Linked DNA regions of Drosophila melanogaster. The protein of the gene in region 3 interacts with the protein of the main gene of each other region in a pairwise test. Each region holds a gene or a part of one and is shown on either strand. Other genes may lie near its edges.

The links.
Region 1: the proteins of Ref1 (region 3) and CG31441 interact in a two-hybrid assay, tested with the Drosophila melanogaster proteins (one large-scale study listed by BioGRID).
Region 2: the proteins of Ref1 (region 3) and Or45a interact in a two-hybrid assay, tested with the Drosophila melanogaster proteins (one large-scale study listed by BioGRID).

The regions. Positions count from the first base shown.
Region 1 is NT_033777.3:11,230,572-11,240,624, reverse strand, and holds CG31441 (uncharacterized protein), read right to left. Parts: upstream 4,340-10,053; 5' UTR 4,269-4,339; coding exon 4,137-4,268; coding exon of another isoform or gene 4,133-4,136; intron 4,076-4,132; coding exon 3,285-4,075; intron 3,226-3,284; coding exon 3,123-3,225; 3' UTR 3,001-3,122; downstream 1-3,000. Other genes in the region: scpr-B (SCP-containing protein B), read left to right, coding at 1-487; CG31388 (uncharacterized protein), read right to left, coding at 588-729, 998-1,114, 1,192-1,514, 1,584-1,668, 2,016-2,572, 2,640-2,756; CG17721 (uncharacterized protein), read right to left, coding at 4,709-5,024, 5,083-5,216; Arfip (arfaptin), read left to right, coding at 5,895-6,117, 6,181-6,703, 7,055-7,223, 7,301-7,408, 7,499-7,543; Dph3 (diphthamide biosynthesis 3), read right to left, coding at 8,207-8,284, 8,357-8,431, 8,501-8,608; CG17187 (uncharacterized protein), read left to right, coding at 8,917-9,816.
Region 2 is NT_033778.4:9,341,222-9,353,404, reverse strand, and holds Or45a (odorant receptor 45a), read right to left. Parts: upstream 8,057-12,183; 5' UTR 7,984-8,056; coding exon 6,901-7,983; intron 6,847-6,900; coding exon 6,793-6,846; 3' UTR 4,542-6,792; downstream 1-4,541. UniProt on the Drosophila melanogaster protein: Odorant receptor which mediates acceptance or avoidance behavior, depending on its substrates. The odorant receptor repertoire encodes a large collection of odor stimuli that vary widely in identity, intensity, and duration.
Region 3 is NT_033777.3:7,074,902-7,082,116, forward strand, and holds Ref1 (RNA and export factor binding protein 1), read right to left. Parts: upstream 5,487-7,215; 5' UTR 5,309-5,486; coding exon 5,063-5,308; intron 4,555-5,062; coding exon 4,353-4,554; intron 4,119-4,352; coding exon 3,921-4,118; intron 3,507-3,920; coding exon 3,352-3,506; 3' UTR 3,003-3,351; downstream 1-3,002. Other genes in the region: CG1943 (uncharacterized protein), read left to right, coding at 2,018-2,374.

The DNA.
Region 1 (10,053 bases), 4.2 Mb from region 3:
CGTAAAGACCTGTGAGTCCCTGCCAGATAAATGTCGCAGCACCGAGAGATTCGCCTACGCCGGCCAGAACAACGCCTTGTTCCAGTACAGCGGAGCCGAGACAGAGTACACCGATGCGGAAATAATAAAGGAGCAGATCGAGAACTGGTTTGCTGAGCGCTCGAATGCATCTCCCGAGATCCTCGCCAGCTTCCCGGAGGAGCTTCCCAACAAGGCGGTGACCAAGTTCACCATCGCGGTGGCCGAGAAGAACACCCATGTGGGATGTGCGGCCGTGCGCTTCTCCCGGGACTTTTACAACCACTTCGTACTCACCTGCAACTTCGCCACATCGAACATTGTGGGTCAGCCTGTCTACACTCCGGGAGAGAAGGCAACCACCGGCTGCAAGAACCGATATGGAGCTGCCTACGACTACCCCAATCTGTGCTACGCCAAGGAGATCTACGACAACGAGAAGGTCATCGAGAACACACAGACGATGTAGGTGATAGTAGATGCTGGGATCTTAAACATGAACGCGGAACGGAAGCTTTATTAATATCAATTCGGTATATATAATTAACATGCAACTGGCAATAATGAATTCAATTCGTTGAACAATTTCTTCCACGGGAATTGGGGGATGCAGCAGCTTTAGCACGCGCCTCCAGAGTTTTGTGGGCATTGGACTTCAGATGGGATCTGTAGTGTTTGGCTGTCTTGAAGCTTATGCGGCAGATTTCGCAGCTGGAAGAGATTGGGGGTGAAAAAAATGTTTTACTCATTAGCATGAGGCTTCAAAAAAGTAATTTGATTACATTGAACTGCAGCATATCATATTCAACAGAGTACTGCTGATATTTTATAGGAATATATAGGCACACAATCGTTTTTTGCATATAAAACAAAAAATACGTTTGACATGCAAGATAGATTCGTTATTTAGTTGCGAATAATGGAAATCCTTCTAATTTGCATTCTCTGCAAATACTTAAGAACTGGGAGGAAGTCGTACCCGTGATCGCGAGTCAAGTTGTGATACTTTTGATGTGTCCTGCACTCGCTGGGTGTTACATACGACTTGGGGCAGTACTCGCACTGGTAGATACGCTTGCTGGCGTCCATGTGAACCCTGCGGAATATATTGGAAGGGTCACGTAAGTGGGGATGGTGGGCTAAGTGACGGTGGAGATTCGTCTGAAATTCTACCTTTCATGCATGCTGCGGGCGCTGCAAAAGCGAAAGGTTTTGCCACAGTTGTAGCGACAGATGTAGGGACGCTCGGTTGTGTGGGTTTTCTGATGGGAACAGAGTTCGGCGGCTGTATAAAAGGATGCGCTGCACTGGTCGCATTTGTGGCGTCGTGTGCCCGCGTGGCGAACCAGGTGATTCTTCAGATTAAAGGCCGTGGTCAGATGCTTGCCACATATGTGGCACACATGCTGGGACGCCGGCGGCCTGAGACACCGCTGTTTGTGAGTCTCCAGCAGAATGTGATTGTGGAATTGGCTCTTGCACTTGGTGCAGGAGTGCTGCAAAAAAAATGTTTCAAAATACAATCCTTTATGAAAGGTATTGAACATTTTAGATGGAATCATTACCGTCAATGGAAGATTAATCATGTTGCAGTGCCGCGTAAGTGCGGCTGCTGATCGGAAGCCCTCGTCACAGTGGTCACAGACGAATCTACAAGGATAATTAAAGTGTTAATTGTGGCAATTGATTGGTAGGTTCTCTCATACTGTGAATAAGTTGTTCTAGTCATTCAGTGATAGGGTTTAAAGGATTCCTTAATTCCAATCAGAGCAGCACGTATAAAATGGAAAATCGTTCTAAAATTAAATAAAAATTAAAACAAAAGACAATTAATACGGAATGAATGTGAGAGCTAGCTAATAGCCAATTTAGCAATGTAAACTAAACATATTTTGTGCCCTGACGGAACGTCTTCAGATCTTTTAGGATTTCTACAAGTTTCGAACGAATAATATGGGAAAATCATGCAAGCATGCCTCTAAAATATGATTATTTACTTGGTATCTGGCGGGATGTCGTGCAGATGGTATTTGTGCAGCTTCAGTTCGTCCACGTTTTCGAATTCGAGGCCACACTTGCTGCACGTGTGGCTGGAGGAAGTGTCCCGATTATCGATAGCTTCACTTTCGGGTTCTGATTCGGGAGAGAGGCCCATGTCAAAGTGCTCATTCGACAACTGGCTATCTGTTGAAAGTTCTGGAGAAGATTGCGGACTGGCCACTGACTGGTATGCATTCATATACTCTGTTGTTGTCGTGGTCTTTATGGAAGCCAACTCATCCGTATTCTTATCCTGTGGCTCGGGATCGAAGATAAAATCCATGCGATCATTCAGCTGTAGCACTGGCGACAAGTTGGACAACTCATCCGGACAATCATCCAGCCATTGCTCCGCCAGGCTCTCGAACGCCTCCTCCTCCTTTTCCACCTGCCTTAGCTGAAGTTCAAGGAGCTCCTGGGCCTCGATGCAAACGCGGCGGAAATCGATGGCAATCTGCAGGTCGTGCTGGCAGTCCTGGCACATGAACCTGGGCAACTTGCCGTCCTCTTTTAGCTGCAAAGTGATTACAGATCGCGGCATTTATTCGGTTTTTATTTTCGCAAAACGCTAACGCACTCACCTGCAAGTTAGTTAGAGTCTCTATTTGACGCAAAACGGAAGAACTCGATGGATCGAAGAGATTCTTGGCTACCGCAGGATCAGCCATACGAGAACAGGTCCTGCAAATGTACCTCATGGCTTGTGTAATGAGATAACGCAGCACCCCGATCGATTGGAAGTGTATCTTTTTCGGTTTGTTTGGACGGAAGAACAAGAAAAGCGGCATTCGCATTTCTCAGCCCCACGCATAGTCGATTTCGAATTGACATTCGCCCAGCAACGCGGCCATTCCGCCGATTTTCAAAATCTCAATTTGTTGTTACAAGTTTTTTTCAAGAAATAAACCATTGTATCTGCAGAGCGAAAAGTCGAAAACCTTTGATGTCACAGGTGTACATTTTGATTATTTCTTCTTTTAGAACCATCAAATCAAAAATAGAATCAATTTGTTCAATTTAGGAATCTTATAATAAACTTGTACTTTCAGCAGTCCACATGAATTCTAGACAATCCTAGCACTTTCAGCTCTTCGCTGGTGTAATTTAGTGCTTTGATGTAGGGTCAAATGGGATGAGCGCAGGAACCACTGGTCACAGATCTCGCAGCTGGAAAATACAGTCAGTTTGCACATATTTTACGGAGGACAGCTAGTGCTCCTACTTACTGGTACTTCCGCTGATTAGTGTGCAGCATCTCATGTTTTTGACGCGTCGACGTGGAGGTGAAGGCCTTGTCGCAATGCTGGCACTGAAAGGGACGCTCGTTGGTGTGGGTCCGCTCGTGGACCACTTTACTGCTGCATCCTCGGTAGGTCTTGCTACAGAACCGACAAGCGTACGGTCTGGCGTCCGTGTGAAGGATTCTGTGGCGCCGCATCTCGTTATCCGTGTAGTACTTGGCCTGGCAGATGTCGCACGCGAACGGTTTGTGACCGCTGTGTCGCTGCAGGTGCAGTTTGAGGTAGGTAGAGGACTTGAAGACGCCGCCGCACTGGTCACAGAACCAGGACTTGGAGTTGCGCTTCGTACGCTTGGGGACACGGGCACTTACTCCCTTCGAGATGATGGACATGTTATGGAGCTGCTCTTGACAGTGCTCCACCTCCTCTGTTTGTACTTGTACTTGTTCCTCCTGATTCTTCTCATTCTGAGTCGCATCTTCTGCGTCCTTCGCCTTCTCATTATCATTGTGATCTTCCCGCAGAAGCCCAGCTGTATCTGCCATTGCTACACACATTTCCTGATCCGTGTGGTCCCACAAATCCTGCTGTAGCTTCTCAACATCCGGTTTATCGAGTTCCTCATCAACTATCGCCTTTTTTCGCAAAAGTTTCCTGTTAGCGGCCATAAAAGACTTGTGGACCTCCAAGCACTTATTGCGAAATGTTAAGATCCTGTCCAGCTGCACTTTGCAACATTGGCAAATTAGATGTGGCAGAGTGGTGTCAAATTCGAGCTAAACAATCATTTAAATCAATTAAATAGACAGCATACTTTAGTTTTATTCACTTACATACATACATATCGGTGATATTTTCCAGTATACTAATAAAGTGATAGTTGCTTTTGTTGAACAGTTTGGTAGCCCGACCCTGCAAATTGGTCACATTTTTGCCACAAGTTCGGCAAATCGATCGCAACTCAGACATTTTGAGCAAACCAAACGATATTTAAAAAGGTTTTTTAAAACTCAACATTATTGTGATGCATTACATTCAAGTGAATGGCAAGCGAGATAATGAAGATGCACATCAGCTGTTGTCTGTTTACTAAGTGCATGTGCGTGGTGTGTACACACTGGCTAAACGATATTTGAACAATTCAAAACAAAAATATAAAATTGTATTATTTTTTTTTTTTTTGAAAAAGCATAGACGCATCCAATACTTTTCTTTCATTTTAAACAACAATTTGGTTGAAATCGGCATCTTTTAAGAAATCTAACTTTTATTCGTTTCAGAACTAAAATCTTAATCAGACTTCTTTGCTCTCGACTTAATGTTATATATAAAATTCGTTGAGCCTTGCATTAAGTGCACGCTTATGCTGATATATGGCTTTGCCTGGCTGCATGATCACTAGGTGATACCTACTCCTTAATTCCCATTCTGCAGACCGGACAGTGGCGGCCACCATTAGCCTGGTACTGGTGGAGGCACTTCTCATGCAAGGCGTGGCTGCAGCGCAGATACACCATGGTGTAAACACTTAGGGGATCTAAACAAATCGTGCACAAGTCACCGGCTATATTGACATTAACCACCTTATCGCACTCGAGGCACTTTCTATGGGAATAGCGAAACACCAAGTAGCAGAGATTGTGCATGGCATGTCCACACCTCATGCGGCGCCGGTCGTCATCACTCAGTTCATACTGGCAAAAGGTGCACCTGCCATTCGGCGACCTGCAATGAAACAAGGGATTTAAGCCAACATTTTAGCTTTGAATCGCAAGGCACCAACCTGCCCACGATTCGACGCTCATTTAATAGCACCCACCTGGAGTAAGGCGAACTGCGGTCGTTATGCCAATTGAAATAGGCGAAAGCGGCAACGGACACCAGGCCCAAGCCTATTATTAGATTCACGTAGACCATTTTCCGCTGGCTATTGGCCTAAGTAACGTGGAAATAGAAATAAGTAGAGATTTTCCATGAAATCCCCAAAAATTAAATCAAATTTCCACTTTAGTGGGACCGCAACTGGTCGGCACTGAAAATCCAAATAGAATTGCTTGGCCACATCAACTGGCCTATTGATCATGATCAAGAATATATATGAAAATGAATTAAAAATTAATGCTGGTGCCGCAGAGGAGAGTCCTCGCAGCAGTCACTGTCCCGCCAAACCACGTCCCACCGACTTGACCTGCAGGACAGGACTTCCCCGTGTTCCAAACTCCACCGTTCCGCCTTTAAAATACCGTGTCGCACAGCCGGTATCCAAGCAGTCCAAGTGTGGCATTTAACCACCTACTCGCGCACAGTCACACCGATTTTCAGTTCGTGAACACAGTTTGATGAACTTTATGCGGAATTTTAGGGATTTGAGAATTTTGACGAGTCCAGGCAGGGGTTACTAAAGTCTCGACTCGCCCAGCGTGCGCCATCGATTTCGGCGTGGAAATCGAAGTGAAACCTCCAGCGCCGTTGCCCGAGAAACACACACACAGACACCTAATCGGGCACACCCCCACACAAAACGGGCAGACAGGAGGATTTTCCGCTGGCAATTACTCGGTGAGACGGGCGGTTAACTTAACGACGGCCATAGCTATGACGGACCGCGAGCGCAGCATTCACGAAATGCTGAAGGATGCGCCCTCGCTGAACGACAGCTGCGGAGCGGTGCACACGGGCACCGAAGGCGGCAGCGGGATCCTTGGAAGCGCCAGCAGCCACAGCATCGCCGGCGGAGGAGGTGGTGGCGGCAACGTTGGAGTTGGTGTCGGCGGCCCCTTTGGCGCCCCCAGCAGCCTGCCACTAAGAAACCATTCAGGTGAACTATTTACGAGTCCTCGATTTAGCGACCAACTGACTCAGCATCGATCTTTTCGTGCAGCACCCACCACACCCATGTCGCCCAGTAGTCCACCATCCGGTAACGGCATCCTGAGCCCCACGGACAGCGGGAGCGGCAGCATTATACGCACTAGCGCCTCCAAGATCGACAGTCTCAAGAACTGGAGTATATCGACGTACAAGTGTACGCGACAGATAATGCTGGAGAAGTTGGGCAAGTCGCAGCGGACCGTGGACTCGGAACTGGAGGCCCAGATAGAGCAGTTGCGCGAGACGCAGCGCAAGTATCTGTCCATCTTGAGGCTAACGCGGGCCTTTAGTTCGCACTTCCAGCACGTGGTCGTCACACAGCACGCCCTGGCCGACTCCTTCGCCGATCTGGCCCAGAAGAACCCCGAGCTGCAGAAAGAGTTCACGTGCAATTCGGAGACGCAGCGCAATCTCACCAAGAACGGCGAGCTGCTGCTTAATGCGCTCAACTTCTTTATTTCGTCGGTGAACACACTGTGCAACAAGACGATCGACGATACGCTGCTGACGATACGACAGTACGAAACGGCCAGGTAACCAAAGCTATATCCTTTCATTGTCGTGCAACAACGAAGGAAAAATCATCATCGATCTCTTCGATTTTAATTTAAACTCAGCATGTGTGTGGCTTTTTATAAAAAGTGTTGTGCCACACAGCTCTTATCAGAAATGCATTTTAAACTAGCCTTGTATACAAGCTTGAAACATTGCTTATCGTATTATTTCCTTGAAAAAATTTAAATACGTTGGATCAATTAGTCATAACCGCATTCCATGATAATCTCTACAATGGCAATAAGTTTTTATTTCCTAAAGCCATCGTATGTTTCATAAAAAGGCATGAGAATTATATGTAGTAGAAGTAATGTCCTCCTGCCTTTTAGAATCGAATTCGATGCCTACCGCATGGATTTGGAGAACACCAAGCCGGAGCTGACGCCCTCGGCCGTCGCTCTTGAGGAGACCCAGCGCAGCTATGCGCAGCACAAGGAGCAATATGAGAAGCTGCGCTCGGACGTGGCCGTCAAAATGCAATTTCTCGACGAGAATCGCGTAAGTGGTGCCAAATGGATCTTACCTATGCATTTAGCGAGACTAACCATTGATCCAATCCGTTTATCCGTCGATAGATTAAAGTGATGCACAAGCAATTGATTCTGCTGCACAATGCCATCGCTGCCTACTTCTCGGGCAATGCCATGGCACTGGAGAGCACTCTGAAGCAGTTCAACATAAAGGTGAGTGAGCATGGAAACATGGGAGCAGAGTGCTCCCATTAAACTTCGTTCGCACATTCACTTTTTCACTTCTCCTCTTGTGGCCCGCAGCTTAAGTCACCCAATGCCGTCACTGGATCCTGGCTGGAGCAGTAGATCGAGTAGACGCAGTTCGTCCCTTTCACTCGCGAAGCACTTAGGCGCGTATATTGGAGGAGATCGGGACACGTCGTCCACCTCCACTCATTTGCTGAACGAGCACGCTCTCTAAAAGAAAAAGGAAAAGATCGGTGGCAGAGATGATTCAGTATGCGATGCAGTGGACAGAAACACTGCATGGCGAACCATAACAATATTTTCGTGCTAAGTTTAAGTCGAATTCCTAAGCCGTAAGCAGAAAGTGAGAGTGGTAGGTGTATGTTATTTATATATTTTTCCAACCGCTTTCCATTGTATGTAACTCGCTGTACTACTCACATTTCCACAGCTGGTACGCTGACGTTCCTTTAACTTGTTTGTGTTTCCAAATTTTCGTTCGATTATCATCATATTGTTGTCCTCCGCGCTTGTAAAACATATATAACAAAGTGTACTCGGTGCAATATGAGTGTTTTAGTTTTAGATATTCTAGAATGTGTGTATAAATCCTTTGTAATTCACCCAAAACGAATAATCCATAACGAATCGAAACTGTTTTTGCGAGCTTGCATAATTTGAAATCATTGTTTTACTAGTCATCGTATTATTTACACTAAAATGAAGTCTATATATATATAAAAATATATAAATAAAAACTATTTAATTACACCAAACTGTGTGTTAGTTCTTCTCGAGCTTCAGGTCGCCGAGCTTCTCGTTCAGCGCACTTTCTTCATCCTCCTCAGCTTTGAACATCTCCTGAAATTCGGAAAATCAGATTGCTTGAGTTTTCTGGGGAGTTCTAGGTGTATTTCTGAATGAGTCACTTACCGGATCGTATATGACCTTGATGACTAGGGAGCAGCTGGGACAGGTGGCCACCTCCTCGCCCTCGATTAGCTCCTCCTAAAGTGGAAATTTACCAAGTGATATGGGGAGTCCAGAAAAAAAAAGGTTGCGTATACGACTCGTTACCTTGGAGATCTGAAATCGATCGCCGCATGGACAGGGATAGTAGTACATCTCCTCCTCCTCGTCGTACTCGAAGTCCTCGATCTCCACCTCGTCGTGATAGATGCTCATGACGTACCTTCAGCTTAATTCAGCGCCTAAAGGTCATATTATATTTGAGTTTTTTTTGCGATAACTTAGATTAATCCACGCCAAACAAATGGGCACGTTGTGTTGCGGGGCTGCCAACTCGTTGCAGCGAACAGCTGATCCAGTAAACAATTGCAAATGTTTTATTTGGACATTTTTGGACCGCCGGCTGCAGTTGTGAAATAAGTCTCGTATAAAATAGTATATTTTAGCTAACTTTTGCCCAAAAAAGACAAACTGCAAAACAAACCCATGTTCCAGTTGTTGAATAAGGAGTAAAATAAGACTAAATGGCTAGCAAAAAGTACAGTGACGTGAATCTTTACGATCTTCTGGGCATTTCTCTCGAGTCTGATCAAAATGAGATACGCAAGGCGTACCGCAAGAAGGCCCTCGAGTGCCATCCCGACAAGAATCCGGACAATCCGAAGGCAGTCGAGCGCTTCCATGAGTTGTCCAAGGCTCTGGAGATCCTCACGGATGAATCCGCGCGCGCAGCTTATGACAAAGTGCTGAAGGCCAAGAAGGCGGCGGAGCTGAGGAGTCGCCAACTGGACGGGAAGCGGCAGAAGCTGAAGCTGGAACTGGAGGAACGTGAACGGGCGGCACTGCACAAACTGGCGAAGAGCCAACCCTACAGCACGGTGGCCAAAAGCGACGAGGAGGTGCTGCATGAGCAGATCGAGCGGTTGCGACGCGAGGGCTCCCGTCTGCTGGAGGAGGAGCAGCGAGCCATGCAGGAGCAGTTCCGGCGGAATCACGCGGAGCAACAGAAACTGCAGCAACAGCCGGTCCAGTTTGATTCCGCCCAGCATCGCATCAAGATGAAGTGGAAGGCCGAACCTGGCCAGGATTACACACAGCAAGAGCTGCTCAAGTATCTGAAGAAGTACGGCGACGTGGTGGCCCTGGTGGTCAACAGCAAGCGACGCGGACGCGCCATGGTGGAGCTGGCCACGCGCGAAGCCTGCGACATGGTCTTGGCCTACGAAAAAGGCGATCCCGCCAAGCCGCTGCACTTCGAGTGGGTAACGCCGCCGGCGGCAGACAAGCAGACAACCAAATCGGCCACCACTGGGTGCAGTGCGTCATCCACCGACTACGAGGACCTGGTCATGCGAAAGCTGCGCCAAGCTGAGGAACGTAAGAGACTCATTGAGCAGATGATGAAGGACGAGGAGGGCGAATGAAATAAGATTTAGTTAGGCTCAACATTTAATTTACTTTAATTGGACTAATATTAATGTTTGAAAATATCTCAATTTAGCAACTATGCAGCTGATTTATAATACATTTACATTTAAAATAGTTTTTAATTTATGTAAATTTGGTTATTAATTATTTTTTGAAAAACCGCAAAAATAAAAAAAAGTTTAAATCAGAATGATGGCAATTTTTAGTGCCTGAGCAAACATGACAAGTTGGCA
Region 2 (12,183 bases), on a different chromosome or scaffold from region 3:
GAGTTTTAAGCATTGCGCCATATTGTACGGCAAGAACCGACGATAAAATTCTAGTTGCCCACCATAACATTCAGTCCGAAAGTGAAGAATTATTATCAACACCTTATATAGGAGAAGTTAGTGAAGCGCCGAAGATTATTTGGGATCCGCTGAAACTATCAATATTAAATCATACTGAGGAATTTGAACGATTGAATAATGAAATTAAATTTATGAAAGAGAACCATCAAAAATTGAAAGATTTACATTTCCATCATATTTCCGGACATGCTGGATTAATTATTGCTTTAATACTAATGATAGTATTAATAATATATTTCATACGGAAATGTGCTGTGCAACAAAGAATGCAAGCAATAACCTTTGCAGGTCCGTTGCCAGTACTATAAATATCAATAGTAAATAAACAATAAAATAATATAACAAATAAAAATATACAGTCCACTAATAGAAAATGTACTTCTACATAGAAAAAGCAAAATGTTTAAAATAAGTTAATTGAGTACAAATTGTTGAATTAAAAATAATATAAACCATAATTGTAATCCAATAAAATTAAAAGCCAGAAAAACTAGGCCCATTGAAATCTTAGTTGCAAAATAAATGAACATATATCAAATAAATACAGTCCACTACTGTTATAAATGCAACTAATATACTAATGTACATCTCAGCTTTGCTGGCCCTTTGGCAGAATGTTCACACATGAACACGAATATATTTAAAGACTTACAATTTTGGGCTCCGTTCATATCTTATGTAAATGAATCGAGAGCGATAAATTATATTTAGGATTTTGTTATCTAAGGCGACATGGGTGCATTGCTCAAAAACATGTAATTTAAGTGCACACTACATGAGTCAGTCACTTGAGATCGTTCCCCGCCTCCTAAAATAGTCCCTTAGTGGGAGACCACAGATAAGGTCCTCGCCGCTCAAGATAGGCAGATGTGCCCGAGCGTGGGACCTCGATAAGGCGGGGACTATTTACGTAGGCCTCTGCGTAGGCCATTTACTTTAAGATGCGATTCTCATGTCACCTATTTAAACCGAAGATATTTCCAAATAAAATCAAGTTTCTTACAAAAACTCAACGAGTAAAGTCTTCTTATTTGGGATTTTACAGTGCCAAAAAACGCAGCCGTCCCCAATCAGCAAATGCAAAGCTGAGCAAGCGGCTGTAGAAAAGCAAAGCAATGCGAAGCGAAGCGCATTCCCTTTGTTCGATGGCAAAGTAATACATATCTCGTCATATATAATTTCCGCTGCGAAGGATATCCAATGTTCGGGAACGAGGACGCACCTCATCATCGTCATCGGGACGGAAGCTTCCTTGGGAATCCGCGGTGCGGCGCGGCGTAGTGGAGCGGGAGACCCACTCGTTGGGCGTAGGCGAGCAAAACAAACGCAGCTTTCACTCGAAGCTCCAAGTCTCAATGCCAGCAAAAGCAACACGTGACGCCACAGGACGAGTGAGTTGCGCTCGAAATTGAGATTTTCGAGGGCCAGGAGCAGCAAGGATGCTGCGGCTCCAACATGTTGCTTCCCGAGCCCAGGACACGACCGCGAACACGGCCCGAACAACGAACCTCGTGGCACGACGCACGCCGCACGAGTCACGAAGCTGCGACGCGAGTCCTGCGTGCCGAGCCGAAGGACGAGCTTGCCGAACGGTCCGATGGCCGAGCGATGCGAGCCACGAACTGATAAAGCCGCAGCTTCTCTGCTGGTCTACAGGCTAGCCACTCGGTCAGTTGAACATTTTCCATGCTGTGATCAAGTTGTCTTTTCCTTTGAGCGCCGAGCGCTGTGCACGCCTGGGACTTGGAACGTTTCGAAATCGGGCTGAAGAACATTTAGAAAGTATTCGAGAAAATATTCGAAAGTTCAATCGTTAAATATATATATATTTAGAATCCCCCGACTTAAGCCACCAGTTTAGTGTGTGTACTCTCGAGCAGCAAGTGCGTGAAACGGTGGCGGCCAAGTGCAAATGGTTAGCGGATTGTCGTGGCGAAATAGGCGTGGCAGCTTGGTGGGTGCGGCTGTCCTCAGCAAGTGCAACATGCACTTGTTGTTCCCCCCAGTTGTTGCAACATGAGCAACATTCACGGCTGGCTGCCACTTTCGCACGATAATTGGTTTTCGATTGCTTGCCCTCGGCTGGCTGCCAAAATAGTCGATGGTCCAGTATCGAGTTTCGAACTTAAGTGCTCATGGTTTTATTGCAGCAAACAAACAAAATATACAAGACACAAAAATGTTGAAACGACGGACTGACTTACATGCATTTTATTAGTAAATAAAAAAATACAACCGAATAAAACAAATATAAATAAAAAAAACAAATATCATTACAACCGAAAACACCAACGGGAAAAAACAGCCGCAAACATTTTTGTAAAACAAATGATTAAAAAGGTTTCGCCAGCAAAGAAAAAACAAGCAAAAACCAACAAGCGCGTGGAAATCGAATGCTGAAAATCGCCCATAAAACGCATAAATAAATAAACTATGCTCAAACGAAATTAATTAAAAAAGAATGGAAAATCAAATCAGGCAAGATAATTAAAACAGTAAGCGCACACGGCAAATAAAGCAACGGCAATATCCTGCCGCAAAAATTGAAAATATCCTGTAAGACGGCTGGGAAAAAGGACGAGCCCTACGAACGAAGAAAGGAAAATGAGGTCGACGAAGGCGAACCCAAAGGCCGGAGTGGATCCCAAAATTGTAATGTACACAAGAAAAACAAAACCGATTTTGCCAAAATAATTGAATTCGCATTATAAAGTACACATTTTCAAATCCACACCCAATAAGCAATACACACAATATATGTACACAAAAGAAATCACCAGCTCATGCGACATTGCAACAAGAAAATGGCAGACTCATTGCCGAGCGGATTCTCAGTGCCGAAGAAAAGTCATTTTTCAAACATTTCCCCCGCCCATTGCTCTGCGATTTTCTTGTCGCGCGTCGCCTCTAAACAATTTCACATTCACAGTCCCACTTCGGCACAAACAATGGCATTTGCAATTTCCATATCATCCAGCTTCGCCCCTTAACTACCCGTCTAAATGTTGTATAATCACAATACCATTTTTATCTGTGCATCTCAGCATCGAGTTGCCATCGAGTTGATTTACCCAAATGAGTCGAGTCAAGACCCCCTTTAGAAAAATTTGCTCGTTATAAAGTGCTTAAAAAATGTTGTAGGGGCTAAAGACCCATTTTAAGCCTATTGATTTAGTCTCATTTGATTACGTATCGAGATGGTTTTTCGCATTGGTAATATTTAAGTGCTGTGATTTAGACAGCAAGGGCTCATGTCTAATGAATTATAATTTAATTATGCATAAGGTAATTGCAATTTGGGCGGGCTCTGTGGCATCATTAATTATTGTATTTGGTTGCGAATGACGGATAATGATAGCCGCCATGCTGATTATTTAATGACATTCCAGGAAGAAGGCGAAAAACATTTTCGGTTTTTAATTACCATTCGCGCTCTGCTCCTACTGAAATTTCAATTTTGATATGCTTTTAAGTGCAGAACGTTCTTTCGAAAGAGTGCAAATATGTTGATTGATTTCTGCCCAGAATGTTCTGGTTCCAAACATGTGAAAAATTTGTGTTTAACCAATCGTTTTCCTGTGTGCTTGCAAATATTTATGTGTTTGTTAAATTTTTAAATTATTTTTTTTTTTTTTTCTTGCAACTTTGGGCGTCTATTTATTTGTTTAGCTTAAAAGTATGAATTACATTTAAAAAGGAAAACATATAGTCGTGTGAATCAATGTCCAGAACAAAAAAAAACCGAATAATGGTTCTGAATGATTCATTCGACGTATAATTTTAACAACTAATTAGCCTAATATGTTTCTATATGACATATATGGAATCATTTTAGAATTCACTATTTCTGGTCGAGTTCAGTATTAATATTTTATCTCGCAAAAAAATTATGACCATTATTCGCTTGAACCCGCTTGCACTTAGTGAAAGTTTGTTATACATTTATGTTTTATTTTAATTTTGCTGCTGAAAATCCCATCGAAATTCCGACAAATAAAGTCGAATCCTCTGCCCGCACATAAGTGCGCCATATAATTTGCATAAGTGCTTGTCATGCATGTGGCATCCACATTCCCATCCACATCCTCGCAAGGGAGCCGCTGCAAGCCAAATGTTCAAATGGGTCACACAAAGTCCCATAAAAGTGGGTTAGGAACGGGTGGCGTAAATCAAAGTTTCCAAACTGAGCTGAGGAGACGAAAATAGCGACTGGGAGAAGCGATTTCGGAAGTGGGGAGACTCGTCTCGTCTCGAGGGGAAAACAAGTCGATTTGGACAATGTCCAAATCTGTGGCAATTATGTGGGTAAAAACAGTCAATAAAACATTGTAATCACCGCTACTGTTTGCCCCATGGCTCAGCTCGATTGTCGCATTTGTGGCATTTGAAATTAAATTTAACCAAATAAACAAGAAATTAGGGGGCGTGCTGTAATTAGTCAAATCTCCGTTTAGTCCTGGAGTTGGAGTGCCTGCCTGCCAACGTTTGGCTTATGGCGCAATTCGTTGTTAGTTCCAGTCACGTTTCATTGTTTACTCGCTGTATGTGTGCCGCCAGCCCGTATTAATTAATGCATAGGAATGTGTATTTAAGCATATTTTAAATATTAATTAATGTAATTTCTATTAAAACTGGCTATCTCCGCGCCCGCCCTTCGCCGGCCCCTCGCCGTTGGAAAAACCTTTCAACAAGCCGCACAATTTTAATTAGAAAAGTTTCATCAAGGCCCTGCACAGCCGCCTTGTATGCTTAACCGAAAAATATATGTTATACATTTATATTGTACATATATACAGATGAAAATATAGCTTTGGCAAACACAAGCCCGATTAAAGTGGGACATTTTTTGTGCTTCCTATTTTCCGGTGGCCAAAGAGGTGGAATTACCGTGAAAACGGCTGGGTTTTTCCATTTAATTTGAATTAGCATTTGTGTTCGAAAATTTGAATTTCCACTTCGGGTGAATTGAATAAGTGTTTGGCCACTTTTCCGCATTGCGAACTTGATTTAAGCTTGGCATTTCAATTTTCGCATTAAAATACTGATAGTTTTTGTTTTCTTCATTTCAGGCAATTCATTTTGAAATTGAAAAATCAATTTTGTTGTAAAACTTTAGGTTAGATTTTTTGTTGGTTAAATGCAAACCATAAGCCCTGGGGTAATGCTTGCGGGAAACTACCAGCTGGCCACCATTTTGTTTTACAAAGATAAAACTGCATTAGGACATTTAAGTTTGAATTGCCATTGAAATTTGCAGTTTGCATATCAATTTACTTTGCATAAACGTTTGCTCACTGCGCGACAGCTTTAAGGACCTTTTTGTTCGATTATTAACCATTCGCCTCGTGGCACTGCCCACACAATACACCGCAACAACTGCAAAAAAACAAAAAAAGCAATGCAGCGAAAGTGCTGCCAGCACTTTTATCTCTACCCCACCGCCCACACACGCCTGCCACGCCCACTTTTCCTACTGCCACTGATGCTGATGGAATTATTGTGTGCTCAACGAACCGCAAACAAAATCTGTGCTCGCTCCTGTTCGTTTTTGTTCACATTTTTAATACACATAAAATGGTGATTTTTTTCACCACTATTTTCAGCTTGTGGCTCTTGGCCATCCGCTCTTATCTTGGCCACAATTTGCTGTAAAGTTATACCGCCCAGCAAACCCAGCTAGCTGTGGCAGGTTGATGCTCGAATTTTGTTGGCTGTTTGTGCCGCAGGTGCGTAATGGCCAGGAGCGATTCGCGCTTATTAATCGCTGCTCATTTGTTTTTTCGAAGTCAAGCCAAAGATGCTGACCAACGCAGACCAATAAATCAAATGTCAGAGACAAAAATTAATTATGCCCGCAATAGCGCTGTCGTAATTTGTAACATAATCCGAGGTGCCTGGCTTCCACGCCCGCACAATTTGTCACAGCTTTTTGGTAAAACGGTGGTGCACGGAGTCCGAAATACTGAGTCCATTTTGCATGTGCAAAATACCGAGTTGTAAAATTTAATAAAACAAATTCCGTTCAAGCGACTTAGCCTCCGACTGAATTCGAATCTCGGCAACATCAAGCCAGAAATTCCGTAGCAGGCAACATTCCGCAAGGCACGAAGGATAAGGGCAGGGTTCTTAGGTCCGCATTCCACCTGATCCTGATCCCGAAGCCCCGAAACTAGCTCAAGACCCGGGCTGAGTCGAAAAAGGAGCCCGAGGCCATTGGCTGGCAAGCAGCATGGTGCACATAGTTTGAGTAGCTATTTTTCAGCAACTTGTTCCCCACCTGAACGATGCTGCTGATGTTGCATACTTTCGTACTTTCATACTAACAAATTCCGACTACCTGGTGTATACATCTATATACATACAATACATACGAGTACCCATATGCACACACGACTGACATCATGGCCACACGCATGAGCTGGCTTCGCTAGCTGCCTTTGTGGAATGCCCTCATGAATTTCATATGCTCCTCCATCTGCCTGCAGTGGCATCAACCTGGGGCATGAGATCCCTTCGGGGCAGCTGAGCCCGTCAAAAACATGCTCGTCCAAATGGCAACTGATTGGAGTTGGGTTGTGGATGTTTGGATCGCTTGCCCATGAATATTTCCAAATAAATGTACTCGACTATTAAAGATTATTGATTGATTAAGAAATTATAATCATTTTTGTTCATTAAGAGGTAACTATTCTCAAGCTTCGATTTGATGGGCTAACGCTCGAAAGTCCTAAGCATGGCCAGAAATGAGCCCGCAGTTCTGATGACCTGCAAGATATAATATCTTAAGTATGCCTTAATAATCCATTACTAAAAACCCACCCAAAGCAGCAGTGGCAAGTCCACAACGAACATGAATCCAAAAATCTTAGCCGGTCGCTGCGCCCTCATGATCACCATTTGCCAGAGTCTTCTTTTCTTTGGCGTCATTTCTGGCCAATTGATTTGACCATAAACGGCTTGTGCGATGGCCAAACTTTGCTGCTTTATATACTCGCCTCCATAGCAATACGAACTCAGTTGGATGATGATGGCCACTAGGAAGGTGGCTCTAAATGGCACCTGGGCACTCCAGCCACTGCGGCTGAAGCGAAAGGCCAACATGCAGAGTTGCAGGTAACTGAGCATGTATTTCACAAAGACGATCTCCCCGAAAATCGAACTTAGTTCCTTGGCCAAATCCAGAGCTATACGATGACGACTAACAAACCCGGTCAGGCGAGAGTCTCCGCCATTCAGATCCTTCTCTTCGAGAACAAGCTCCAGTAGTTGGAACTGAATCACCACATTGTGAGTCAGCCAGGAGAACAGGGTGTCCGTTGCAATGGCCAACCAGGCGGCAGCTGCCACGCCCAGTACGCCCCAAACGTAGATGGGCCAATAAAAGTGAGGCTTTCGCTCGTCCAGCCAGAAGTTGAACTCCATGGGTGTGGTCGGGGTAAATACACCCGTCTCCACATATCCCCACAGGCCAAGCAACATGGGCGCTATGGCCGAGGCACAAATCACTCCGTAGGCGGCATTTCTAAAGGACCTGGCGACATACCTATCCAGTTGGTTTTCCCTCTCGATCTTCTCCAGGTGATTGGGCGTGGCACTGGCCGCCTGGTTTAGCTTATGCAAACGGTGAATCAACGATCCAATGCGCCTTCGTTTCGCCATCATGACCAGGAACTTGAAGGTGCTCTGTGATCCTTGCATAAACACCGCAAAGTTGTCCGTCAGACGGGTCAAGTCGGAGAGATCCTGCAGGGCATAGACTACCATGGGCCAGTTGTGAGAGATCAAGGACAGGATGAGAATCCCGGCCCAGATGGGATGTTTCAGACTCAGTTGCGGAGTACTGGGATCGAATCCAACTATTTCCAGAGCTCTTCTCTGGACGGCAAAGTAGCTGGCGTCCATGTTGGTCTTTCAACCGGATTTCGTTGTTGCACCAACTTTTATAGCAGCCACTGGGGGCAAAAAAAAAAAGAAAAAAAAGAAAGCTAAGTGGATGCCGTTGCCGCCCCTGAAATTGTGCCTGAAATATTTATTTCATCCGTTAACAGGCTACGTGACACGGTTACCACTACCACACTGGCTGTGCTGTTTTGATTGGAAATTTTCCCATTTCCATTTAGGGGGGCGTAAATATCGTATTAACAAATAAATACCCAACACAAGTGGAAGTGGTGCGACACGTTGTTTACCTATTTGTTTACATTCTATTTGGTTATCTATCTATTTATTTTCACTTTAACATTTAAATGCCTGACTGGACAATGGCATGTTCTTATACAAGACCGCAAGGGTTATGATTATGAACAAGTTGTGATAGATATAATTTTTTCTGTAGCCTTGACATTTGGGCTAGAGCAAAGCATTTTTCCTTTTAAATTCCTTTTAAATTTGTGTATTTTGTACCAAAAAGTTAGCGTAAAAATTCCCTGTAAATACACCAAAATGAAATTAATTTTTGGGCTGGCCCCAAAAATCCTTTTTTTTCCCAATTTGTTTGCCCTCTGGGAGGAAAATGTCGGGACCCATTTGGTCCGCACTTTATTCGCGAGTAATTCAATTACGTGGGAAATCAACAAGTAAATCTGCTTTCGAAATTTATCGCCGGGACTAGACGAAATCGAGTGAAATAGCCATTTGCCAGGCCACATTATCTCCAAGCGTTTTTTCCCCCCGATTTGCATTTTGGGTTCTTTGCCTTTGGGTTCGGCTTAATGTCACCTTAACTGCTCTCAATTAATCTAGAGTGGGTGTGCCAAATAAAGACCTTTTCCTGGAATTTTAATAACCATCATTTGCATTTTTCCGAAGGATATTCGTAGCTGACTTGTTCAAAGTTGCGGCTACAAAAGTTATGCAACGTTATTTAGAGCGAGCTATGTACATATGTTGGCCTCCGGCCAATTGTGAATACAAAGAGTTATGTTTGAAAAACATGTTCAGTAATTAATTAAATTTACACTTGCAGATTTTTATTTAAATTTCATAGAGTCTGAGTAGTCATTGCAGTCGCACGTTTTCACATATTCGCCCGTTTGCATATCAAATTGATATTTTATGCAAAATATTTACCGAAAAGCCACAAAAGCAATAATGCCAGTGGCTGTGTGCGAAAGAGAGGGTCAGTATGTGCGAAAGAGAGAGGCACAATGAGAGTGAGAAAGAGAAAAAAAAGAAAAATGGGGAAAACGGAGAAGAGCACACCTGCTGCTCGATAATTTTGACGTCGGTCCGGCTTTTGGACTCCTCAGCAATTTGCTTACCATCTGTCTCTTTCTCCTGAAACATCTCTCCCTCTCTTTCGCACACCATGTGCCCATCTCTCTCGCTCCACTGAGGTTTTCGTGTCTTTTGCGGCTTTGTTTATTTCATTGCCTTCATGTAAGTGAAGGTGTGGCTGTGTGTGTGCATGTGCGACTCCTTTGTGTGTCACCCATTTTGGAGGTTTTTTATGAGCTTGTGGCGAACCGTAAAAAAAAACCGTCTTCCAAATGGAGTGGCATGCCAGGCTTAACCAGCTTGCCGAACTCTTGCTTGCCAGACCCCACTTGCCCCCCAACTCGTCTTCTTTTGTTCAGTTTAAGGAACTAGCAAAATGTTTCACATCATGTTGATCATTTGTTGCCCTATCAGCGGGAGTTTAGGGGTACAGATAGAGTGTACGGAGCTGGGAGATACCAAAGAGATTACCAAAGATACCATAGGGAAAACATTTTATTTAATACGAGTCTTTGATCCCTTTGCTGTTAATCATATGATGTTTTATTTGAACACAAGCCACCACAGAAAAGTTAACAAGTTTGTGACTTAATAAACTTTGAGAAAAGTGAACAATTTGGTATTTTATTTAAATTTATGGCTTGTATTATTAGAATTTGCATGTTTAAATCCTAAATCCTAATCCAATTCAAGGGTATCTGTGCCTCGAGTGTACTTAATGGCCATTCCTTCGACTAGGTTGCATCCTGAGTACTAGCAATTTTTCAGCCACATTACACAGCTTTCTCTTGTCCGGCTGAAAATAGAGAATGTAACTAAGATAGAAAGGGAGCGCTGGATGCAGTTAGAGAGGGACAGGTTGAGAGGTACATCGAGTGTGTGTTCCACATGAGCAGCGAAGGAATTGAATAAAGTTAGCATGCCGCCGCAGGGAATGAGCCACTCCCAACCTGCGTGGAAGTATGCTGTGTGGTGGGGCAAAAGCATCATTCAATAAAAAATTAATAGAAAAACATTCAATGAACGTGGCACAATGGCGCCAAAGGGCCACCGGCAGATATCCCGTTCCCAATCGCTACGTCCTCGTGCCCGTGCTCGACTGCAACGCTGATGAACAAGCCATCCTGTGTTCGGAAATCACAGGTAATGTGGTTTTACGAGCGCCGTGAGACAGGTGAATCCTGCCCAAAACCCCTGCCCCCATTCCGCTGATAAATGCAGCCCAGCCCCGACTTGCTCGTGAGCCTGACAGCGTACAGGGCATACAAAGCATGCTAATAAAAACATATACTACGTCATCTACATGCTCATGAAGGGAAGAGGGGGGGGGGGTGGGGGGAGCAGGTTGGCTTCGTTGCGGGTGTGGATTTTGTAAGCCGATGTGCAACACTTTTTTGTATAGCCCGGCAGGCAGCCAACCGTTGATTATACTAAACTTGTTTACTTATGCTGCTGCTAGTACATGTGTGTATATCCTTGTGTGTGTGTGTGTGCCTTTCACTGCATGTGTGTGTGTGTGTCGGAAAAGTGCAAATTTCAGCATAACCAAGCATCCTTGACGACCAAACTCGCTGTGCCTGTGTAAATTTTGGCTTAGCCACGCGGGCGTTAAGCAGCAGCAAGAGCAAAGCAAGCAGTGGTCCAGAAGGATGTTGGAAAGGGTTTGGGAATGGGCTACTACTACGAAAGGAGGGGCTGAAAGCTGCTGGAGAGAAGGGGATAATGGAGCGGGCGAGTGAGAAGCTGCTATTACCAAGTGCAAAGTGTGGCTCAGTGTGATGAATGACGCCAAAAAATTTGATGGTACCCGATTAACATAATGATTTGCATACGTTTAGCGTGTCCTTGCAGCACGAACATCTCACAAAGTGTCGAAGAAAGCTCCCCTAACGAAGGAAGAGTATCGTCTTGATTGACAAGCCCAAGTGGGCGGCGGATGAAGGGGAGTGTCAATGTTGCATTCCAAGCAGATGCAGTGCATTTCGAAAAAAGACACCCAAAGTAGCGTGTGAAGGTCCTTAAAGTGATACGTTCTTAAAGATTTGCATAATCATTGCTGTATTCATGCATTTACAGGAGTCTAACAAGTCAAAGAATGTTTGTAGACCCAACTCGAGATATCTATGTGAATTTTCCAGGATGTGAATGATGAGTGAATACTCATTTTTAGTTGGACTACAAATTTATAATGTGTGTGTACCCAGTATTAGGGTACTTGTGCCTAATACTGGAAAATTTCCACAAATTCCGGGGGGCAACCATGCAATTTTCGTGGTTTTCGGTTTTTAAAGTGGTTTCGAATGTTACATTTTGCACGTGAACTGGCATTACCCCTCCTATGCCATCATGATGCATACATGAACAACTATGCACTCTTTTCGTGCAGCTCAAATTAATTTGAACGTAAAAAAAATAGACAAGGGCAAACACAAAGCTATTACCTGCGGAGGGGAAAATTGAGAGGATTGTGCAGCAAATGGCATAAATAAATAAACGAACGAAAATCGAACGTACTGCGAGAGTTGTTCAACTGCAAGAGTTGCGTCAGAAGTTCTGAAAGAGGGAACTCCAGCACAAACTACCAAATTGAATAAGGGAAACTTCGCAGACGACTGAAGATTCGCTAGAAGTGATTGCTGTTTGCTTAAAGCCTTAGCTGCAGCGGGACAAATCTGGGGCCCCATGGGAAGAGCTTATTAATTATAGACAAATATGTGGTAATTGACTGTAGCAAGACACACACACACACACACACACACAGAAACCGAAACTCGGATATCTATACAGGCATACAGGCCCGCGATAGAGTTTGAATCTCAACTTGAGCTGAACGCTATCCAGTGCACAATGAGCTAATTTTAAGCTAATATTTATGCAGCAATTAAA
Region 3 (7,215 bases):
TTCCGCATCTCTTATTCGCAAAGTTAAAGCCAGACTTCTTCGAGTAGAGCCGTATTCCGGAGTCCTTCCAAGGTAAGCGTGACTTGGGTGTCGACATGCTGGGCCCACAGATAGTTGGTTGACAGCGGGTTTGCGAGATAAATCAATATTTTCGCAGACCAACACTTTTCACTTGTGTCATGGAATTTCGTACACCGAGCGCAAGCGCTGTCTGTGTGTGCGTGCGTTTGTGTGAGTGCAGCTGCTTTTGAATTTTATTTAGCACAGCTGCCATATGCATTATAAATAACACATCCTCTGTGGAAGTGGAAGATTCCCGGTTTGTGGCTCGGTCTTTTGGGCTATGGCCCACGACGGGGCAATCTCCGGCTGCCGCTCCTTTTGGGCGGCCATATTGTTCGGGTTCTGAGTGCTTCGCTTTAGTCAGGCGATTATTGCATGCACCTAGGTACGAAAAACTAACCGAAAGCAGTTTGAACCGAATCTCAGTAGCCTGCTCTTGAAGTGGCTGTTGTTTACTTCGCTTTCTGGTCGGCCAGTTTCCGTGTGCATCGCCGTTTTTAGTCTAATCGATGATACGTTTTAAGTAGGTCTGCCGAAACTGGATTTGTCTAATGTGTTTTGGCCATAAACATTCACTTGGTCAACAAGTCGCGGCGATGGCAGCAGGCCGAAATTTCGAGTTTTAACCAGATTGCTCATTACTCATAATTTCAGCACCAATACAAGTAGAAAGCACAGTTAATGTGATTCTCGTATGCATGCAGATGTGTGTGTGTGAGAGCCGGCAATCGCCCTAGGGAAGCAAAAACAACAAGTACAGTGGAAAGGGAACACGGCAATCAGTCTCTGTTATTGCCTTTCTGCACTGAGAGAAAATGCTTGTACGATGTCATTTTTTGCCAGCTAATTTGTTTTCATTGTTACGCCTTATATCTATCTCTCTCTCTTTGGTGTTGTTTTAGTTATGTAAATAAAATTTTAGATATCCATTCGATTCATCATAATAAATTTAGATGCGACCGTATTTTGTTCTGTGCAGTACGTTGGTAGTGTTTTTTGCCCAGGTGGAAAGCGTTCAACTGTGGGAATCGAAATCGCTTGTGAGCCTTCTAATCTAGAGATCTTTGACTCGGTGCGGTCATTCACATTGCTTTGTTTTCCCGTACCCCAACAAAATTGCCAGTGTGTGTGGCCTGTGTTTGTTGTTGTCGCCAACAGCCACCCCAAATGGGATACACCCCAGGCGGGAGTTGGGCGGAATGTGCCTCCCCCAGCGGATGACGCATCATTACAAATGCTTCTTCACCGCACTTGCCTCAGATGTCATCGCCTGGGAGGCGACCTCTTTTCCGCCATAAGCGAGGCAAAAAATCATTACGAAACTAATATTTGTCATTTGCATCTTGGATGCGAGGAAGTGTGTTTTATAGATGATATGTAAAGCATATTATTTTCATATATACATATAACCCACTTTCTATTAACTTAATTAGTTTCTTAATTGACCACTCTGACTATTGGCACTTTATATCACCAAAGGACTTTATTGTTTGAACTGTAGTCAATGGTCAATGCCCAAACGCACTTTTTGAGCCCACTGTGCGAACGCCTAACACAAAAACGGAGAAATGAACAATGGCAAAAACAACAACGAAAGTGCGACAGCCACAAAACGCGCAATTACAGTTAACGGCAAAGTTAAAAAGTTGAGGGCAGCGCAGCAAGAAAAATAGATGAGTTTCTATATACATACATACATACATATGTGTGTAGAGAAACCGTCGATAAGGTGGCAGAAGGGCAGAACAAATGGGTCTCTCGTTTTCACTCCACTTCGCCAAGATTTGCCAGTGGTGGGGTGATGTCGGATGACGGGCGTCATTGTGCCGGGCGTCACATCCGCAAGTGGCGTGACTGAATTTGTAGTCTAGGGTACTCGTATTTCCGACCGCATCTGATTCACTTTTCATTGTTATGCATTGCAGTCACTGAAACCACAACCAGCAGCGACAAAATGACATCCACCGAGCTGAAAATCGGCCTGACCACCAGTGCCCGTCCCTCCAGCCGAGTGCTGAAGCCCCCAGGCGGCGGACACACCAATATCTTCTCGGAGCCCGACGTGGCCGTTCCCGCCCCGCGTGCCAAGTACAACCAACAGAACTCCTCAAACCTCAATGCCTGCATGGGCTCCACGGATCCCAACAAGGTGGTGGAGAAAATTCGCGAAGAGGTCTCCATCCAGAAGGAGGAGGCCAAGTCCGCCCCACCCAGCCAGCCCAAGGAGCCGGCGAACAAACCAGCGGCCACAAATGGAGAGGCACGCGGCCGAGTTCCACCCGGCGGATTCTCGTCGGGCGGATTCTGGTAGAGGGAGGAAGGAGGGAAGGAAGTGTGCCCGGGAGCAGAAGCAGCTGCCAAGCATTTAATGACTCACCATCACATCCTCAGACCGACATAAGAATCATAAAACTATAAATATACATAACTCGCTTATAACATACGTATACACCTATATTTAGAGGCGCATTACCTATATTAACCTGCTGATCAGCCGAAGAAGAAGGGAAACTGATTATATTTTGCCAAGCAGCACTCCAAGTCGTTCTTCCTTTCGCCCTTTCATTTTCATGTCCCACATTTGTTCTATTGTCTAAGTAACAGGTTTAAAATGTCTAACGAAATTGTTGAAATTAAGTAACTCGTGATTCCGCCCCACAAATACGGATGATATGGATTGACTTTGCTAAAATCTACCACCTACTAAGCCTAATTTAGCATTTGTACTTAAAGTGTCCAATCGAATCTTCTTATAGTCTGTAAAATTCGTCCAAACGAATACCAATATAACCATCGATGTATTACTCCAAATAAAACATTTAATTGTAAGTGATGGCTCTTTTATTTTTGCAAGTTGATGGAGATTCTTCGGAGTCCGCCGCCGCCTAGTAATTAAACAATACTCCTAGCCTATTGAGTCAGTAAATACAATTCGATTTGGTCACGAAATTAATTCTAGTATTTATTACAATTCAGTTTAATTTGACAAGGTCCATCAATTTATCGTCGAACTTGATAAAGCGCATTTCTAAATACAATAAATACAGCATCAAATGTATTTCAGTTATCTTAACATCCGCCGCATTGGCAAAACTAACAATTAATGGATAAATGCGCAAGTGGTTGATTGATTTGATGTCCGATGCTTTCAAAGATCTGCTCCTGGGCGCGGCGTTGTCGATGCGTTTGCATTTATGTACCATGCGGGGGGTGTCCATATGGTAGGCTTAAAACTATAGATTGGGCTGCTCTTCTATTCTTGTTAGACTAATTCAGACTATTCACTATTTAGATCTTCATGTCGTTGATGTATGAGTCCAGTTCGGCGTCCAGCTCCTCAGCAGTGGGCGGGGCCTTGCGCTCCCGTCGCTGGCCGCCTGCCGCCGGCTTGCCACCGACCGGACGTTTGAAGCCGCGACGCGCCGTGCCACCAGCTTGGCCACCTAAAAAACAGTTCGGAATGATAGTGTAAGCATTGGAGCAAGGATGGATCGTCATGGGACCGTATCATGGTCATTATAGAAAGGTAAGCTTTCATATGTGGAACTGACCTAGTAACGTAGTTTACCCAACAAACATCGTATTAAATCGAAACAAAAGTTTGAATAATTACAAAAGCTGTTGACAAGAAAACATAACAAAGAAAGGAAAGTATTTCGTATAAAAAGTCAAGTAACAAAATTTGAAACCTAAGACATACTAGGTAATCGAAATAAATAGGCATTTAAAAATCTTTGTGGGAATGGGGATAGATCCAAAATTGATCTGAAATAGTTTTAAATGAACGATGTTTGTGGTAAAAATAAACGAAAATGGGCATCATTCACGGTCCCTGCTGTAGCATTTTGGATACGCACCACCACGCTTGAATGAAGTTGGTGCAGTACCACCCACGCGACGCTTGACATCGGTGGCGGCTACGGGACGGGTCAACACGGCCACGTCTGAGACGGCCAGCTGAATGGTCATAGGGCGTCCGTCCAAAGGTACGCCATGGTACTGTTTAATGGCCTTCAAGGCGTCGGCGCGACGTTCGAAAATCACGTCAGCGGTGCCTGCAAAGAAAAGTGAATAAATCAAATACATGGCAATAGCTTTAAATTTCGGCATAAATCAAAATACTAAATAAAAACCGCAGCTTCATCGGATGATCTGATCTGTTATCAATTCAAGCCGATTTATATTACTTGGAATGTCTGTTACTGAACCATTCTGCCGCCATTTTATGAACAGCATGTACCGAAATGTTTCACCTAACGACAGGTAGCTGGAGTAGTACTAGCACTTACCCAACGAGCGACCGGAGCGATCGTAGTGCACTGCCGCCTTCTTTATCGGACCAAAGTCGTTGAAGAGCTCCTTGATGTCCGTGTTGGATACGCCGTAGTCCAGGTTACCGACGATGAGGCGGGTGGGTCCAGATCCTCCACCGACGGCACCCCTCTTCGGTCCGTCGTACATATCGTGCTTCCAAGCGCTGTTCACATCGCCCTAGAGGTGGGGGTAGTATTAGGTAGAAGGTAGATGGGTATGTCTTCGAACGCTGCGCGTATCAACTATATGTATGTGGCGGGAGTAGCCGTTGCAGTAGCAGTTGCATCGTATCCTAGCCACAAGAGAGGACAGCCATATTGAGCGGAGACACTAGAAATGCTTGTTAACTGGGTATGGTTCACGTGGAAAACGTGAGGCGTGAGACGTGAGGAAAAATAAGTTAAGACACAGGTGTCGTCTGTTTGGTATTCTGTAAAAACGGGGTTAAAGGAACTTGAACTTGAGGCTCTGCTCGGGCTCGAAGAGTTGTTCCGTCCGTTGGAAGGCGCATGGTGGCCATTTTGATTTTGGTTTAGATTCTGAGTCTGTTTTTCGCTTCCAAGCACTGTTGTGCGGATCATGGGCCGCAAGACACTTGCTTTGGTAGTGCTCTGTCCTGGTGAACTGAGCACGGGGATGGTCTGCTCCGGCTGCTCCGTTTGGCCATTGAAACGCAATGAATTACCCGTGGGAACTTGGCCTTCTGAACGGCTCCGGCGGCCACTCCTCCTCGCGGGCCCTTGAGCACGCTTCCTGGCTTCCTGGGCGAGCCGCCGGCATTGGCTCCGCCGCGGCGGGCTCCACCAGCAAAACGCTGCTGTCCGCCCGTTTTTCGGGCGCCACCTGGTCCGCCGCGGGCGGCTTGCGGCTTTTTTTGCGAGCGTGTGGACTTAATGATGTCGTCGAGGCTCATTTCAATTTTGTCCACCATCTTGCTTATTGCGTGCTGTATTGACTACTTGGAGATCGTTTAAAGTCAAGGGAAAGATTGGGTCTCTGCTTGCTACTGAAGAATGTGTTTAAAGCGTTTTTTTTTTAAGGAGGAGCGCGTGGAATTTCACAAAACTTTGCAAAAACGACGCACACAGATCTACACAATCGCCATATTGGTTCAGAGGAAAAAAGTGTTGAATAACGGTGTGCGTCAAGATAACGACGACAACGAGTTGTCAACGAAAATGAAACGGCGAAATAGGGTAAATACGGAAATTATATAAACATAAAATATAACATAACATTAAAAATTATTATAATTCATATTCACGAAATATCCTAATAATATGGGAAATATCCACTTTTGAAAATGTTTAGAACCATAATAAATATGTGATTATAATAATGTTGTGATTAAATGTTGTGATTAAAATGACTATGATCTTGGAAAATTATTTGGAATGATTACCTCCCATCTAAGTTTTTTTTTTCTCTCTTTTTATTTACAATCTGTCTTAAAAAAGTATGACAATAAGTACATTTTATAATTAATCTTATATTAACAGAGGCAGTAGTTATCCATTAATCCCTACTACATACTCTAGGCATAACATGTTTTAATACTTAAAACCTGTCAGGGAGGTCTAGCACGTAAAATCTTTTAAGTCTTCTGACGTTGTTATTACGTTTTACCAAACTTAAGGCTAAGTTATTTTCATGTGTTCTTAGTCTGTCTATATATTTTTTAATATGTTTTGCTATTTCTTCTTTAACATAAGGGATTCCTAAGTCTTTATGGATACTTGCATTTGAAATAAAAATTGAGCATCAACAATTTGTCTTAATATTTTTGATTGGTAGCGTTGTAGAATCTAAATATTTGAATTGCTGGTATAAGTTTAGTATGGCTTTGTATAAACGGACTTTATTTTCCAGAGTGGTTGCAGATTTTCGGCAACCAGCAACCAGGTCATCTTCAAACTTTTTAGATTTAGTTGCTGGCGCTTTGCTTTTATGTGTTTTTTCACGTTAGTCTGGGATCGAGGTGCAAGCCAAGGTACTTTATGCAATTACTTTGTGGGCAGTCATCTCTTCTTAATGCAAAAGTTATTTGCGCAGATTTCAGGGCGTTGACATTAATTTTCCAAAGAAGAAACCAGCGTAGCTCTGCTTGCAGGAGTTGTGAGGCTTCTTTAGATGAGCTGGTAGCATTTCAAATTAAAAAAAAAAAATTAAATTTTAATTTTGAAGAAAATTTTCAACATTTAGCTTATAAACAACTTAATCTTAATCTAATCCGAAAATCTCAAATGGAAATACAAATTTCTTGATTGGGATACAGCCTAGTTATACCCGTTACTTGTAGAGTAAGAGGGTATACTAGATTCGTTGAAAAGTATCTAACAACTAGAAGGAAGTGCTTCCGACTATATAAAGTATATATATTCTTGATTAGGAACAATAGACGAGTCGATCTAGCCATGTCCGTGGAGATCTCAGGAACTATAAAAGCGAGAAGGTTCAGATTCAGCATACAGCCTCTAGAGACATAGACCATGTTGCCACGCCCACTCTTACGTTCTCAAGCCGTAAAAAACGCCACGCTCAAACTTTTGAACAATTCTTCGAATTTTTTCAAAATTCTATTAGCCTTGTAAATTTCTATCGATTTGCCGAAAAACTTTTTACCACGCCGCTCTAACGCCCTAAAGACGCAATTGAAAAATTTTTGCTCATTTTATTCCCCTAGATATTAGATCCCTCCCAGAAAAATGTTGAAATTTCGTGTTCGCATTTACACTAACTGGTATCTGTGAACTCGACTATAGCATTCTCTTGTGCTTTTATTATAAATACAACCATAACCGTTTTATTTTGTTTTTTAGGAACAGTTACGCAGAAGTG